Linked DNA regions of Macaca mulatta. The protein of the gene in region 1 purifies or fractionates together with the protein of each later gene. This does not show direct contact. Links are inferred from orthologs where the notes say so. Each region holds a gene or a part of one and is shown in the gene's direction. Other genes may lie near its edges.

The links. Proteins that work in one complex are often made in the same cells at the same time.
Region 2: the proteins of PPP6C (region 1) and ANKRD44 purify together in Homo sapiens (affinity purification with mass spectrometry; 5 studies listed by BioGRID and IntAct, counting the BioPlex papers as one, with this or other methods). This does not show direct contact. The link is inferred for Macaca mulatta from reciprocal best matches to the Homo sapiens genes PPP6C and ANKRD44.
Region 3: the proteins of PPP6C (region 1) and ARHGEF2 purify together in Homo sapiens (affinity purification with mass spectrometry; 4 studies listed by BioGRID and IntAct, with this or other methods). This does not show direct contact. The link is inferred for Macaca mulatta from reciprocal best matches to the Homo sapiens genes PPP6C and ARHGEF2.

What each region holds. Positions count from the first base shown.
Region 1 is NC_133420.1:22,618,335-22,622,861, forward strand, and holds part of PPP6C (serine/threonine-protein phosphatase 6 catalytic subunit), read left to right. Parts: intron 1-1,672; exon of another isoform or gene 1,673-2,422; intron 2,423-3,312; coding exon 3,313-3,561; 3' UTR 3,562-4,527.
Region 2 is NC_133417.1:102,059,247-102,063,773, reverse strand, and holds part of ANKRD44 (serine/threonine-protein phosphatase 6 regulatory ankyrin repeat subunit B), read left to right. Parts: intron 1-345; coding exon 346-433; intron 434-3,037; coding exon 3,038-3,180; intron 3,181-4,276; coding exon 4,277-4,489; intron 4,490-4,527. UniProt on the Homo sapiens protein: Putative regulatory subunit of protein phosphatase 6 (PP6) that may be involved in the recognition of phosphoprotein substrates.
Region 3 is NC_133406.1:110,999,308-111,003,834, forward strand, and holds part of ARHGEF2 (rho guanine nucleotide exchange factor 2), read left to right. Parts: intron 1-1,968; coding exon 1,969-2,169; intron 2,170-2,561; coding exon 2,562-2,681; intron 2,682-2,810; coding exon 2,811-2,878; intron 2,879-3,020; coding exon 3,021-3,056; intron 3,057-3,263; coding exon 3,264-3,314; intron 3,315-3,549; coding exon 3,550-3,993; intron 3,994-4,339; coding exon 4,340-4,527. UniProt on the Homo sapiens protein: Activates Rho-GTPases by promoting the exchange of GDP for GTP.

The sequences.
Region 1 (4,527 bases):
GTAACAAAATGTCAAGACCAAACTAGGCAGTACTTTTTTTTTTTTTTTTTTTTTTAAGACCTCAAATCACACAGATACAGACACTTTATTAGTTTCCTCTACAAGAGCCAATAACATCAATCTTTTTTTTTTTTTGAGACAGAGTTTCACTCATATTGCCCAGGCTGGAGTGCAGTGGCGCAATCTCGGCTCACTGCAACCTCTGCCTCCTGGGTTCAAGCAATTCTCCTGCCTCAGCCTTCTGAGTAGCTGGAATTACAGGTGTGCACCAACACGCCTGGCTAATTTAGTATTTTTAGTAGAGACGGGGTTTCACCATGTTGGTCAGTCTGGTCTTGAAGTCCTGACCTCAGGTGATCTGCCCACCTTGGTTTCCCAAAGTGCTGGGATTACAGGCATGAGCCATCGCACCTGGCCTATGTCAATCTGTTTTTTTTTTTTTTTTTTTTTTTTGAGGCGGAGTCTTGCTCTGTCACCCAGATTGGAGTGCAGTGACTGGTCTTGGCTCACTGCCAGCTCTGCCTCCCAGGTTCATGCCATTCTCCTGCCTCAACCTCTTGAGTAGCTGGGACTACAGGCGCCCGCCACCTGGCTAATCGCTTATATTTTTAGTAGAGATGGGGTTTCACTGTGTTAGCCAGGATGGTGTCGATCTCTTGATCTCGTGATCCGCCTGCCTCAGCCTCCCAAAGTGCTGGGATTACAGGCGTAAGCCACCACGCCTGGCCTTTTTTTTTTTTTTTTTTAAAACAGAAATCTCTGTTCATTTGAAATGCCAAGTAGATCCAAAGAAGGAAGATGGCAATTAAATACTTAAATTAATCAAAAGGCACTATGAGACCACCTAAAACCTACTGCCACAGTGGTAGTAGGCTAAGGAAGATCAAGCTACAGCAAATCATGTAATGTGAATGTTAGCGATTACATAGCAGGAAGCACATTTGCTTTCCAGAGGACTATGGTGCCGTGTTCCTTTGGGCCCAAGCGGATATTTGGCCAGGAAAGGATCAAGATGGATGAAAGTAAAGCCAAATCAAAGGAATAGGTACAAAAGAGAATCCAAGCTACGTAGTCAAGCAGATGATGATGAATCAGGCTTCTTCCTCCCAAGAAACATTTGCTGCACTGTGCTGCTTCCCCCCTCCACTACCCCCACCCCCCACCCCATGGCTGCTCAAGTCCAACTGCCTGTTCCTGCCTTACAGGGTGCTCAGCCACTGGGACTAGGTTTGGGGTTGCCCAGGGCTCTTGCCATAATTTAGCATAGACCTTGGGGAGAACTGCTCACACATGGGTTGGCTTTGTTGCTAGTTGTTCTCAACAAAGAAAACCCTGAAGCATTCACATGCAAGGTAGTCTGAGCTTCTCCAATCACAGTCAGACACCCCCACTATCCTCAAAAGTCTGAAATCTTGTAACAGCTGAGCTCTTGTTAAAGCTGCAAGACTCACAAAATCATCAAGGAAGCCAGAATGAGACAGTGCAGGTAGGAAGTCCCAGCAGTTAATCTCAACCCGTCTTTCTCCATTTCGGATAAGCTCAGATATACCTGATGTGGGATATTGAAAGCTACACTGGAGTAAGCTGGGTCTTCTGAATTTGTCATCAAATACCAAGGGAAAACAAGGGGTGGGGTGGATTTTATTCTTAAAAAACCTCAGAAGTAACTGTGTTATAAAGGGACATGACTGAATAGGTAAGAAGTGGATTCTTCATTGTGAGTTTTCCTGATGGCTTCTGCAAGGATCATAGAGATGTCGATCACCTGTATTTTGGAGCGGTGCTTCATCTTGTCGTCCTGGGGTATGGTATTGGTGACTACTACTGCTTTAAAGCATGCGTTGTTGATGTGAGAAATAGCTGGACCACAGAAGATACTTGGAGTCAAGATAGCATAAACTCTGGTGACTCCAGCTAAGAGAAGTTTGTCAGCTGCATGGCAGATTGTGCCACAAGTGTCAACCATGTCATCCACAAGGATGGCCACCAGATCCTTCACATCTCCCACAAGCACCATGCGATCCACTTAATTGGCCTTCTTTGTGAATCAAGGCAAAGTCCACATTCAGCCTGTCTTCTATGGAGTTCACTCTCTTAGCTCCACCAGCATCAGATGAGACAATAGTGCAGTTCTTCCACTCAGAGATATTCTCCCTTATCCACTTCAGGACACCTAGGTCTGCATATAAGTAGTTCACTGGGATGTCAAAAAAAACCCCTGAATTTGAGAAGCATGTAGGTCCATGGTGATAATATGATCTGCACCTGCTACAGATATCATATTTGCAACAAGCTTGGCTGAGATTGTCACCCGACTCTTGTCTTTCTTATCCTGCTGGGCATAAGGGAAGCATGGGATGACTGCAGTAAGCTGGCTGGCTGAAACAATCTTGCAGGTATTAATCATGATTAAAGGTGCCATTAAATTATTGTTGATTTCACCACAGCCACTCCGAATGATGTAGACATTCTCTCCACGTACACTTTCGCCAATTTCCATACAGGTCTCCTAGTTGCTGAATTTCTTAGTCACTACCTTGCTGAGCTCCAGGCCCAGGCAGTCAGCAGTTTTCTGAGATAAGTCCTGGTGGGAGCTGCTGCTGAAGATTTTGATATTCAGGATCCTGGCCAACTATCCTAAGCACTCTTCACTAAGTGATCACTGCTGCTGCAGAGACTGGAATCAAAGTCGGTCCAGAGACTCAATGCTAACAGCTTTGTGATGCTACCCCACCATCTTCAAGATAGGCAATACTTTGAACTTTAACTGTTTTCAACTAAATACACACACACACACATGACTTTATATTGGGAAGTGCTCCAGCATCATAATGAAGTCAGAAAACTAGATTCTGATCCTGTATCAGTGCATCTTAATTTAGATAAGTTATTTATCTAGTCTGAGCTTTTGTTTCCTTAAGTTGCAAAAGAATAATCTCTTTCAGAATTATTGCAACATCTACAGTAAACTGTAAACATACTATCAGTAAATTGTAGATACTGATAGTAATATCTTTATTATTAAATCAGAAAACACAAAATTTTGATTCATAGTACCTATTGAATGCTTTTTCTTCCAGAAATTTCTAACTATGTAGCTATACAGTTTCTATAGCTGTGTAGTTGACTCAGGCCAAAATTGCTCTGTTTGCCTAAACTTATTAAATTGTTGGGGATAATTATAGAGTGGGTTCTATAATCATGATGCATTTAGTAGTAATAGGATTTGGTATTTGAATGATTATTTTCTTACGTATGTAGGGTAATTGTTTTTTAAGTGCTAAATACTTACAGTGTCTTTCTAAATTGCAGTTTGTTCATATCAACAACTTAAAACTCATCTGCAGAGCACATCAACTAGTGCACGAAGGCTATAAATTTATGTTTGATGAGAAGCTGGTGACAGTATGGTCTGCTCCTAATTACTGCTATCGTTGTGGAAATATTGCTTCGATCATGGTCTTCAAAGATGTAAATACAAGAGAACCAAAGTTATTCCGGGCAGTTCCAGATTCAGAACGTGTTATTCCTCCCAGAACGACAACGCCGTATTTCCTTTGAGGCCTTCGCCCATCCTGCTGACCCATTTTTCTGCCCTCTTCTTACCCCAATTTTCTTGTATTACCTTCTACAATATACTTTTTATTGAGCACTTTGCTGCTGAAATGCTGCCTCTTGCCTTTTTTTTTTTTTGAATTTTAAATTATCTAAATTTATTGTTTGTTGTGGTGTCTATAGCAAAGTTTTTCTATCAATTTTCCCGCCATCCCATCCCCACCCTGGACTCATTTGAGAAGACTTGAGAAATGTCTTCATACTCACACTGCTGCATGTAGCTCTTGCTTATTTACTGGTCTGGGAAACAGGATGTGTTTCCTTTTTTTAAAAGCCAATTGACAGATTACACCTAAATACTCCTCCTTTTTGTATCATTCAGCCTTTTGTTTTAGTTTGGTAAGTTTTAAGAAATTTCAGCAGCAAAGTTGTTATTCAGTGGGCACGATGGACTCCAAATGCCTCAAATTATGTATACCTGTCCCAGATGTAAACTTCATTGTCCTTTGTTGGATGATATTTTAAATGGATATAAAATAAATTGGTCTAAAGGGCTGCCCTCCTTGTTGTGTTTTTAAATTTTAGTTAAAAACTGCTACAGCTTATGACTTTGTACATTAAGATAATTGTATTGATCTTTTTTCAGATTCCTTGTATTTTTAATAAAGTAATCTTAAATAAAAGATAGGTTAAGTGTTAGAAATTTTAAACAGCTTACATTGTTAGTGTAAAGTTATCTTTTCTTTTTTCCTAATCAGAGTTCTTGACCCTTTGCTTATTGAGTTTAAAACTTCAATTGAAATTCAATAGTATTTATTTTTTAAAAAAATCACTAAACTGTGCCTAAAGAACATAACTGCCATATTAATGTTTTGGTTTATATCCTCTATAGTAATAGAAAAACATTTAATACTTGTAATGCTGATGTGTTAATTTGATACCAGTTGAGTAGAATGTGATCAATCCAGTTTA
Region 2 (4,527 bases), on another chromosome or scaffold:
TGGAACGCTCCCTCCAGGCACTTTCAGCCACAAGTGGAAACTGATCTTCTTGCTGAGATTTTAAAGAATGTGATGAAAACATTTGTACACCAAACCTTCAGCATCTATATCATTCTCAACTTTAGAGCCACAATGAATTGAAAAAGTAGGCTGTCACTTCAGTCTTTTCCTCTGACACACATGACACAGTTCCTGCTCTGACATCATATTTCTACTTTGTCAGAACTCCAGATCTCTGACCTGCCTTTAGATTTCATGTTAATTTGGCTCAGATCACCTGCAGGCAGTGAGGAGGCCTCACCATTACAGAATGTATGCTTGATTTCCTTGTTGGTTATCTTTCAGATGGTCAATTTACTCTTGGCCAAAGGGGCAAATATCAATGCATTTGACAAGAAGGACCGGCGTGCTCTGCACTGGGCAGCATACATGGGTAAGGATTCCATGCATGGAAAGCAAAGTACAGATAACCTTAACTAAATAAGCCACGGGTCTCTTGTTGACCATGTAGGTTTTCTCCATTCTGACTTCTTTTCAAGTTTGGGTTGCAATGGAATGAAGATTTGGTACATTTTACTGGCATGCATAGTGTGCTCTAGTCGGGCAGTTGCTTTGTCAGATATTTATTTATCCTACAAAGAAGAGGAGGAATGAATCATGGCTTGGGCCTCTTTGAATGTGCTTCAGTCTGGATTGGAAAGCTGCACAGATTGTGCTTATTTTAACTTGTCATGGCAGTAAAATAAGGTGTTTTAAAAAGAAAGAGCACTGGCTAGGAAAGCAAGGACACAAATTCCATTGGTCTTTTTAAATTTATAAATATTTTTGAAAGAAACAAGAAGAAAGGAAGAAAAGACAAACCTCTGGCTATTTTATAGGTGAAGGGCACCAGAAGTACTGAGGATTATCCTGATAGTCCACTGACAACCAAACTGAAGCCTGCAGCCCTCATTTCTGCCCGCTTGGGAGAGGTCACATTTCTATGTTTTTCCTTTTCACTTTTGTTGGCAAATCCCACTGACAAATGATAGATCTCACAGTTTATTCCAAGTGTAGACTTGTGGGAAATGAAGAACTAAGATATTTCCTTTGTGTTTCTAATTGGAGAACATCCTGCTATTAGAAAAATAGGATTCTATCAGCACCAAGTTGTAAACAACCTGAATACCCATCCCCAGGAGACTGTTTTGGTAAATTCTGGAAGATCCACACAAGGGGACCCTTTGCAGTAACTACAGTGATGAGTCCATGAGTGTTTATTAACACAGATTCTGTGATATGTTAAGTGAAAGCATATTATAAAGCAGTATAAATAAAATAATTCTCATTTTCATTTAAAAATCTGTGCAATAACAAACCTGGAAAATATTGTATGCTAAAATTTTAATTGATTGTCTCTGGGTATTTATGATTGTGGATGATTTTGGTTTTCTTTTAATACCTTTTTGCCTTTCTGAATCCTTTGTAACAAACATATGTGCCTTTTATCATCGCTTTAAAAATTAACATTAATTATAGGGAGAAAGAATAGGTTGGGGCAGGGATGAAATAAAGTATGTGGCTAAAGATGGGTCTGAATGAATCCCTGTGCTTAAAAAAACAGAATCTTAAACTTTTACAAGCGTTAGCATGTTTTTTAAAAAAAGTTGACATGGATTTTCGAGTTGGCTGAAGCATATGAAATGACTAGGTGGCACCTGCAGGACTGGAGCCTGTGACTGCGGGAGACAGCTGTGTAGGTCGAACACACACTAAGCTAGTGTGGATAGGACTCAAAGAGTGCGAAGTTTCAAGCTTGTTCTCTGCTGATGTATACACAGTTAAAGCATTTGGATAAATGACTCTAAAGAAATCAAGTCATTGTTTTGTGTGCTATCAGGATACAAATAGGAATAATAGGCAAAACCAGGGCAAATAGCTTAAGACAGCACCACTAATAATTGAAAAAAAATTTTCTATATACAAGTCTTGGGGAGAAAAGAGTCAAATTTTAATAAAACAAGCCAATACCTCCCCCGACTCCAACACACACACGGAGTCCTGGAGTCAGTACTTGTCTTCTACCCTTCAATTTTCAGCCGCATTTAGAGCAGTGATCCTGAAGCACTGAACAGTCTTCAGTGCTGAAAGAAAGGTCAAATATGCTTTTTTGTTTGTTTGTTTGTTTATTTATTTTTTGATACAGGGTCTTGCTCTGTTGCCCAGGCAGGAGTGCAGTGGTGCTATGTCGGCTCACTGCAGCCTCCGCCTCCCAGGTTCAAATGATTCTCGTGCCTCAGCCTCCTGAACAGCTGGGACTACAGGCGTGTGCCACCACACCCAACTAAGTTTTTAGTAAAGACGGGGTTTTAGTAGAGTATTCTTAGTAGAGACAGGATTTCACCATGTTGTGCAGGCTTATTCTATATATGGTGAATTATGGAACAGAGTAAAATATTGTAGAAAAGAATGCTAACAGGAGCTAAAACTAGAAGGGTTTTCTGTTTGGCCTCTAATTCATGAGGATACTTTTAAGTTGAGCCATATGAAATTGCCATTTTTGTGGGTCCAAATACAGTTAAGCAGCAGTAATTTTGTATGATTAAACAGTAATCTATGGTCATTTTCATTATTTTTTTTCTTTTATCAGTTTTTCCTAACTGAATTGTCATTGTTAAACTTTTCAGTGAGGAATGGCAATTGTTTTCAAAAGCATTGCTTTCATTTTAACACAACATTTTTTAAGGCTCTCTACTGATATCTTGGCAAAACCTCACCATTATTCATTAGCATGGTAACAGGCATCACCTAGATCTCCTTGAAGAGAAGGCTCATATGAATCATCTTTTTTCTTCCCACAGCATTTACATTATGCCTGACTATAGGAGGTACTCAATAAATATTTGTTGAATAGCTTCCATGAATATTTTCCAGTTTTTACAAATAACTCAGCAAAATACTGGTGGCAATAAAAGCTAATGGTGATAATTTAGGTGAAATGAATCAGCAAATTGTCCTATAAAGGTTAACGATGTTTTCTGCTGCTTTGTTTGTAAAGGCCACCTGGATGTTGTGGCATTGCTCATTAACCATGGCGCAGAAGTGACCTGTAAGGATAAGAAGGGTTATACCCCTCTGCATGCTGCAGCCTCCAATGGACAGATCAATGTTGTCAAGCATCTCCTGAACCTGGGGGTGGAGGTGAGCTATAATGAATGCATCACTGCATGGCCTGTGTATTTGTGAGATTTCTGTTATTCTAAAGTTAAATCCTGTTTGCACTTTAATTCAAGGGCAGGGGAGTTGTTTTCTAGCATCCTGTCTTTTTAAGATTTTGTGGGCAACTGGTAAAGGGCAGTGGGGGCATACACTAAGCAGAGGAAAACTGGAAACTGAATAACTTTCTATATCAACATAGATAAATATATAGACATATAGATTCTATGTAATATTTATTAACCAGTTGTTTTTAAAGACTGGCCAAGGTTCTGCATCCCACCTTCCAAATGTAGCCTTCTAAGTCATGACTTACAGCAGAAATGAATGAATAAATGGCAGAGACAAACATCAGCAATGTCTGTTCTTGAGCTGGAGAAGTCGGACTGCTGCATTCTCCTTCTGCTGGTAGAACAGGAGCAGTGGTGAGGCTGGAACATCCTGTCCCCCAGGAAAGGAAAACCAAGTTGCTATACAACCATAATGATGAAACCAGGCACCCAGGGCAGGTCTCAGAAAGCAATAGGGGGCCATGGACGAAACACACCTCCTGACGGCACCACTGCTCTGCTACTAAAATGGAACCTGGTGAGGTGTCAGGCTCCAGAGCAAAACAGATATTAGGTTCTGACCTGCCTTCTGTGTTTAGGCTCCACAGCCACCTCTCCTGCCATCTCCGCAGCCACTACCTGCTATCCACTACCATTTCTTGAGGTTTGCTGTGCCCCAACCCTAGAGTGTGGGACTCTTTTTGTTCTCTTCTGATTTACTTCTCTTTTGGTGTTTTGAAAGCAGCTTTGCCCTTCACCTTTTATCCCTTTGTTAGCTGAAAAATACCTCTCCCCAGGATGAAACTTCTCTCTCTCCAGTTCATTTTTTGCCACATTGACGTTTTGCTGATCTTTACCATGGGGTGACAAGCATTCCCAAGATGACCACACTGGGGCAAGAGTAAGCTCTGAACAATTATATTGACGGATGGCTATTTCCTTTCTCTAGCCACAGCAATTATGCTTTTTGTGGAAAATGGAGTAAACTGGCTCCAATGACTTGAATCACCCTGTGTTGGACTCTTTTGCAGATTGATGAAATCAATGTCTATGGAAATACAGCGCTTCACATCGCCTGCTACAATGGACAGGATGCTGTGGTTAACGAGTTGATTGACTACGGTGCTAACGTGAACCAGCCAAACAATAATGGGTTCACCCCTTTGCATTTTGCTGCTGCCTCCACTCATGGTGCTTTGTGTCTTGAATTGTTAGTAAACAACGGGGCAGATGTTAACATTCAGGTATGACACTCTTGGTCTCTGTGTTGAATGCCTTTGCA
Region 3 (4,527 bases), on another chromosome or scaffold:
CCAGCACTTTGGGAGGCCAAGGTGGGCAGATCACAAGGTCAGGAGATTGAGACCATCCTGGATAACATAGTGACACCCTGTCTCTACTAAAAAATACAAAAACAAAAAAATTAGCCAGGCGTGGTGGTGGGTGCCTGTAGTCCCAGCTCCTCAGGAGGCTGAGGCAGGAGAATGGCATGAACCCAGGAGGTGGAGCTTGCAGTGAGCTGAGATTGAGCTACTGCACTCCAGCCTGGATGACAGAGCGAGACTCCATCTCAAAAAAAAAAAAAAAAAAAAAAGTAGATTGGCTGGTGCAGTAGCTCATGCCTTTAATTCCAGCAGGATTTGGGAGAGGGAGGATCTCTTGAGGTCAGGAGTTCGAGAAACATACATAGCAACAAAACATACATAGCAAGACCCCATAGTCCTGGCTACTTGGGAGGCTGAGGTGGGAGGATTGTTTGAGCCCAGGAGTTCAAGGCTGCAATGCACTATAATTGCACCACTGCACTCCAGTCTAGGTAACAAAAAAAAAACAACCCAAGGCCGGGCGCGGTGGCTCAAGCCTGTAATCCCAGCACTTTGGGAGGCCGAGACGGGCGGATCACGAGGTCAGGAGATCGAGACCATCCTGGCTAACATGGTGAAACCCCGTCTCTACTAAAAAATACAAAAAAAAAAACTAGCCGGGCGAGGTGGCGGGCGCCTGTAGTCCCAGCTACTCGGGAGGCTGAGGCAGGAGAATGGCGTAAACCCGGGAGGCGGAGTTTGCAGTGAGCTGAGATCCGGCCACTGCACTCCAGCCTGGGAGACAGAGCAAAACTCCGCCTCAAAAAAAAAAAAAAAAAAAACCCAAAAAGGTAGAATATTATTGCTGTCAACGTAACAGTTCAAAGTGGGAAGTGCAGAGTAGTGGTGCAGCTCTGCCATCTTTAACATGAAGTTTTCATCTCTATGTCACGTCTGAAGTGGCTGCTCCAGCTCCCACTGTCACACCTGTATCACACCTAGCAAGGAAGCGTAAAGGAACAGAGTTTACACCCTTTTTTTCTTTTTCTTTTCTTTTCTTTTTTTTTTTTTGGAGACAGGGTCTCGCTCTGTCACCCAGGGTGGAGTGCAGTGGCGCCATCTCAGCTCACTGCAACCTCTACCTCCCAGGTTCAAGCGATTCTCCTGCCTCAGCTTCCCAAGGAGCTGAGATTACAGGCACCCACCACCACTCCTGGCTAATTTTTGTATTTTTAGTAGAGATAGGGTTTCACCATGTTGGCCAGGCTGGTCTCGAACTCCTGGCCTCAAGTGCTCCACCCACCATGCCTGGCCTATACCCATTTATTTTAAGAGCAGATCTGGAAGACGCTCATATCCATTGGCCAGAATGTAGTCACATAGCAATATAGTCATGTGCAAGTCAGGCAGGAAAACATGGTTGTTAACTGAGCAGCCATGTGTGCCCAGATGAAACTTCTATGCATTTTCTCATTAAAGGAAGATGGGAAGAATGAACACTGTTGGACAACCTGCAACCCCTTGCAACCCCTGCCACAATCTTTTTTTTTTTTTTTTTTTTTTTTTTTTGAGACTGGAGTCTCGCTCTGTTGCCCAGGCTGGAGTGCAGTGGTGAGATCTCAGCTCACTGCAAGCTCTGCCTCCTGGGTTCATGCCATTCTCCTGCCTCAGCCTCCTGAGTAGCTAATTTTTTGTATTTTTAGTAGAGATGGGATTTCACTGTGTTAGCCAGGATGGTCTCGATCTCCTGACCTTGTGATCTGCCTGCCTCGGCCTCCCAAAGTGCTGGGATTACAGGCATGAGCCACTGCGCCTGGCTCCTAGAAACCTTTTTCTTTTTTAATAAATGCTAAAATAACAAAATTAAGTCTTGCCAAACTGCCCCGCACTACCCTGTTTCCCCTAGGGCTGTCCTCTACTGGCGCTCCTGCATATCCCCTAGGCCCTCTCATAGGCTCACTTGTTCCTTATCTGCAGTGGAGTTGCAGCAGAAGGACCGGGCACTGGTGGAGCTGCTGCGAGAGAAGGTTGGGCTGTTTGCTGAGATGACCCATTTCCAGGCCGAAGAGGATGGTGGCAGTGGGATGGCCCTGCCCACCCTGCCCAGGGGCCTTTTCCGCTCCGAGTCCCTTGAGTCCCCTCGTGGCGAGCGGCTGCTGCAGGATGCCATCCGTGAGGGTGAGGGAGCTCCCAGGGAAGAGTCTAGGCTCAAGCACTCACTGTCACAGAATATGGACATGTGACTAGACATGGACAAACACAGACAAGTGGGATGCCAACCCCATGAACCATGAACAGCCCTGAGTGCCTCTTCTGGGCCAGTTCCTGGGAAAGGCAGGGGAGGAGGTGTGGTCTTACTGCTGCTCCATGTCGTCCATGCTGCAGGGACTCCTGCTGCCTCATAGGCATTTACTGCCCTTTACTTCATCAGTGGTTGTGTGAGTGAAACCCCACTGCCAGTGCAGGGGGCATTCCCCTGGATGCCCGAGTGCCCCACATGTAGGGGTGAATGGCATTCCCCTCAGGGTCCTGTATCATTCCTACTCTCACCTCTTCCTCTTTCCCCACAGTGGAGGGTCTGAAAGACCTGCTGGTGGGGCCAGGAGTGGAACTGCTTTTGACACCCCGAGAACCAGCCCTGCCCTTGGAACCAGACAGCGGTGGTAACACGAGTCCTGGGGTCACTGCCAGTGAGTGCCAGGGCAGGGGACCAAGGTAGTAGGTGGGAGGGGCCAAAGCAAGTGGAGTGGTACCAGGGATCGAGTGGTATCAGGGCCCCAGGGAAGTGAGCTCAGCCATCCTTTTCTCCTTCTCAACAGATGGTGAGGCCAGAACCTTCAATGGCTCCATTGAACTGTGCAGAGCCGACTCAGACTCCAGCCAGAGGGTAGGTCCTCAAGAGGTTCTGGGACTTGGCAAGAGGGTGGGAGAGAGACAGCCAGCCTCTGGATCCTCAACACAAAGCTGTCAGGGGCAGGCACCCAGGATTTGTGTGCCTGCTGACTCCCCATTCTTGCCCATTTCTGCAGGATCGAAATGGAAATCAGCTGAGATCACCCCAAGAGGTGAGAAGGGAATTGACAGTATAGGAGACTAAAGGGAGGGTGTTCTTAGGCTGAGAAGTTAGAACCCAGTTTGGAGTGGGGTGGGGAAAGTGTCTACATCCAAGTATGTCTCCAGATCCTACTGTCCCCACACCTACCCTTGTTCAACTTTTGGGCAGTTCTCCCATCCTAAAGCTGGGGCCCTGTTCCCACCCCGTCTGTCCTCAGGAGGCGTTGCAGCGATTGGTCAATCTCTATGGACTTCTACATGGCCTACAGGTCAGTAGGGCAAGGGCTTGAATGGGGAAGGGGAGGAGCCAGGCTAGAGATGCCTGTTTAGGTAGAGCATGGTCATCCCAACAGGCCTTTCTAAATACCCTCCCAACCCAAGCTCTCCAGGAGCGATGACCTGGGCCTTGGAGGAGCGATGACCTGGGCCTTGGAGGGTGAGGGCAAGGGGTAGAAGAGCCACAGGGGTTTTTGATAAACCCTTCTGCCCACATTCTACCCCCAGGCAGCTGTGGCCCAGCAGGACACTTTGATGGAAGCCCGGTTCCCTGAGGGCCCTGAGCGGCGGGAGAAGCTGTGCCGAGCCAACTCTCGGGATGGGGAGGCTGGCAGGGCTGGGGCTGCCCCTGTGGCCCCTGAAAAGCAGGCCACAGAACTGGCATTACTGCAGCGGCAACATGCGCTGCTGCAGGAGGAGCTACGGCGCTGCCGGCGGCTAGGTGAAGAACGGGCAACCGAAGCTGGCAGCCTGGAGGCCCGGCTCCGGGAGAGTGAGCAGGCCCGGGCGCTGCTGGAGCGGGAGGCTGAAGAGGCTCGAAGGCAGCTGGCCGCCCTGGGCCAGACCGAGCCACTCCCAGCCGAGGCCCCCTGGGCCCGCAGACCTGTGGATCCTCGGCGGCGCAGCCTCCCTGCAGGCGATGCCCTGTACTTGAGTTTCAACCCCCCACAGGTAAGGTGGCCTGCAGTGGTGAACGGACCTGGGGTGGACATAAGGGTCCGTGGAGCCCAAAAGAAATTGGGCCATTGGGGATTTGAGCCCAAATGCAATCAGGCAACCGACTTGAAGGATATTGAGGTACTAGTTGGAGAACTGAAAAGAAATGTAGATGGGTGCAGGGGTGGAGGAAACTAACTCGGGTGGTGGTGCTGAAAGAGGCCAGTTGGTGGTGGATCTCCTGAAGGGGAGTCATGGGTGAGCCCCAGTGGGGAGAGCTGCTGCCTTCAGCCAAACAGAACCTCCAGTCTTCACACTACTCAGTCCCTGGCCTGCTGTTCTTCCTGCCCACTGTCCACAGCCCAACCGAGGCACAGACCGCCTAGATCTGCCTGTCACTACTCGCTCTGTCCATCGACACTTTGAGGACCGAGAGAGGCAGGAACTGGGGAGCCCTGAAGAGCGGCTGCAAGATAGCAGTGACCCTGACACTGGCAGTGAGGAGGAAGGTAGCAGCCGTCTGTCTCCGCCCCACAGTCCACGAGGTGA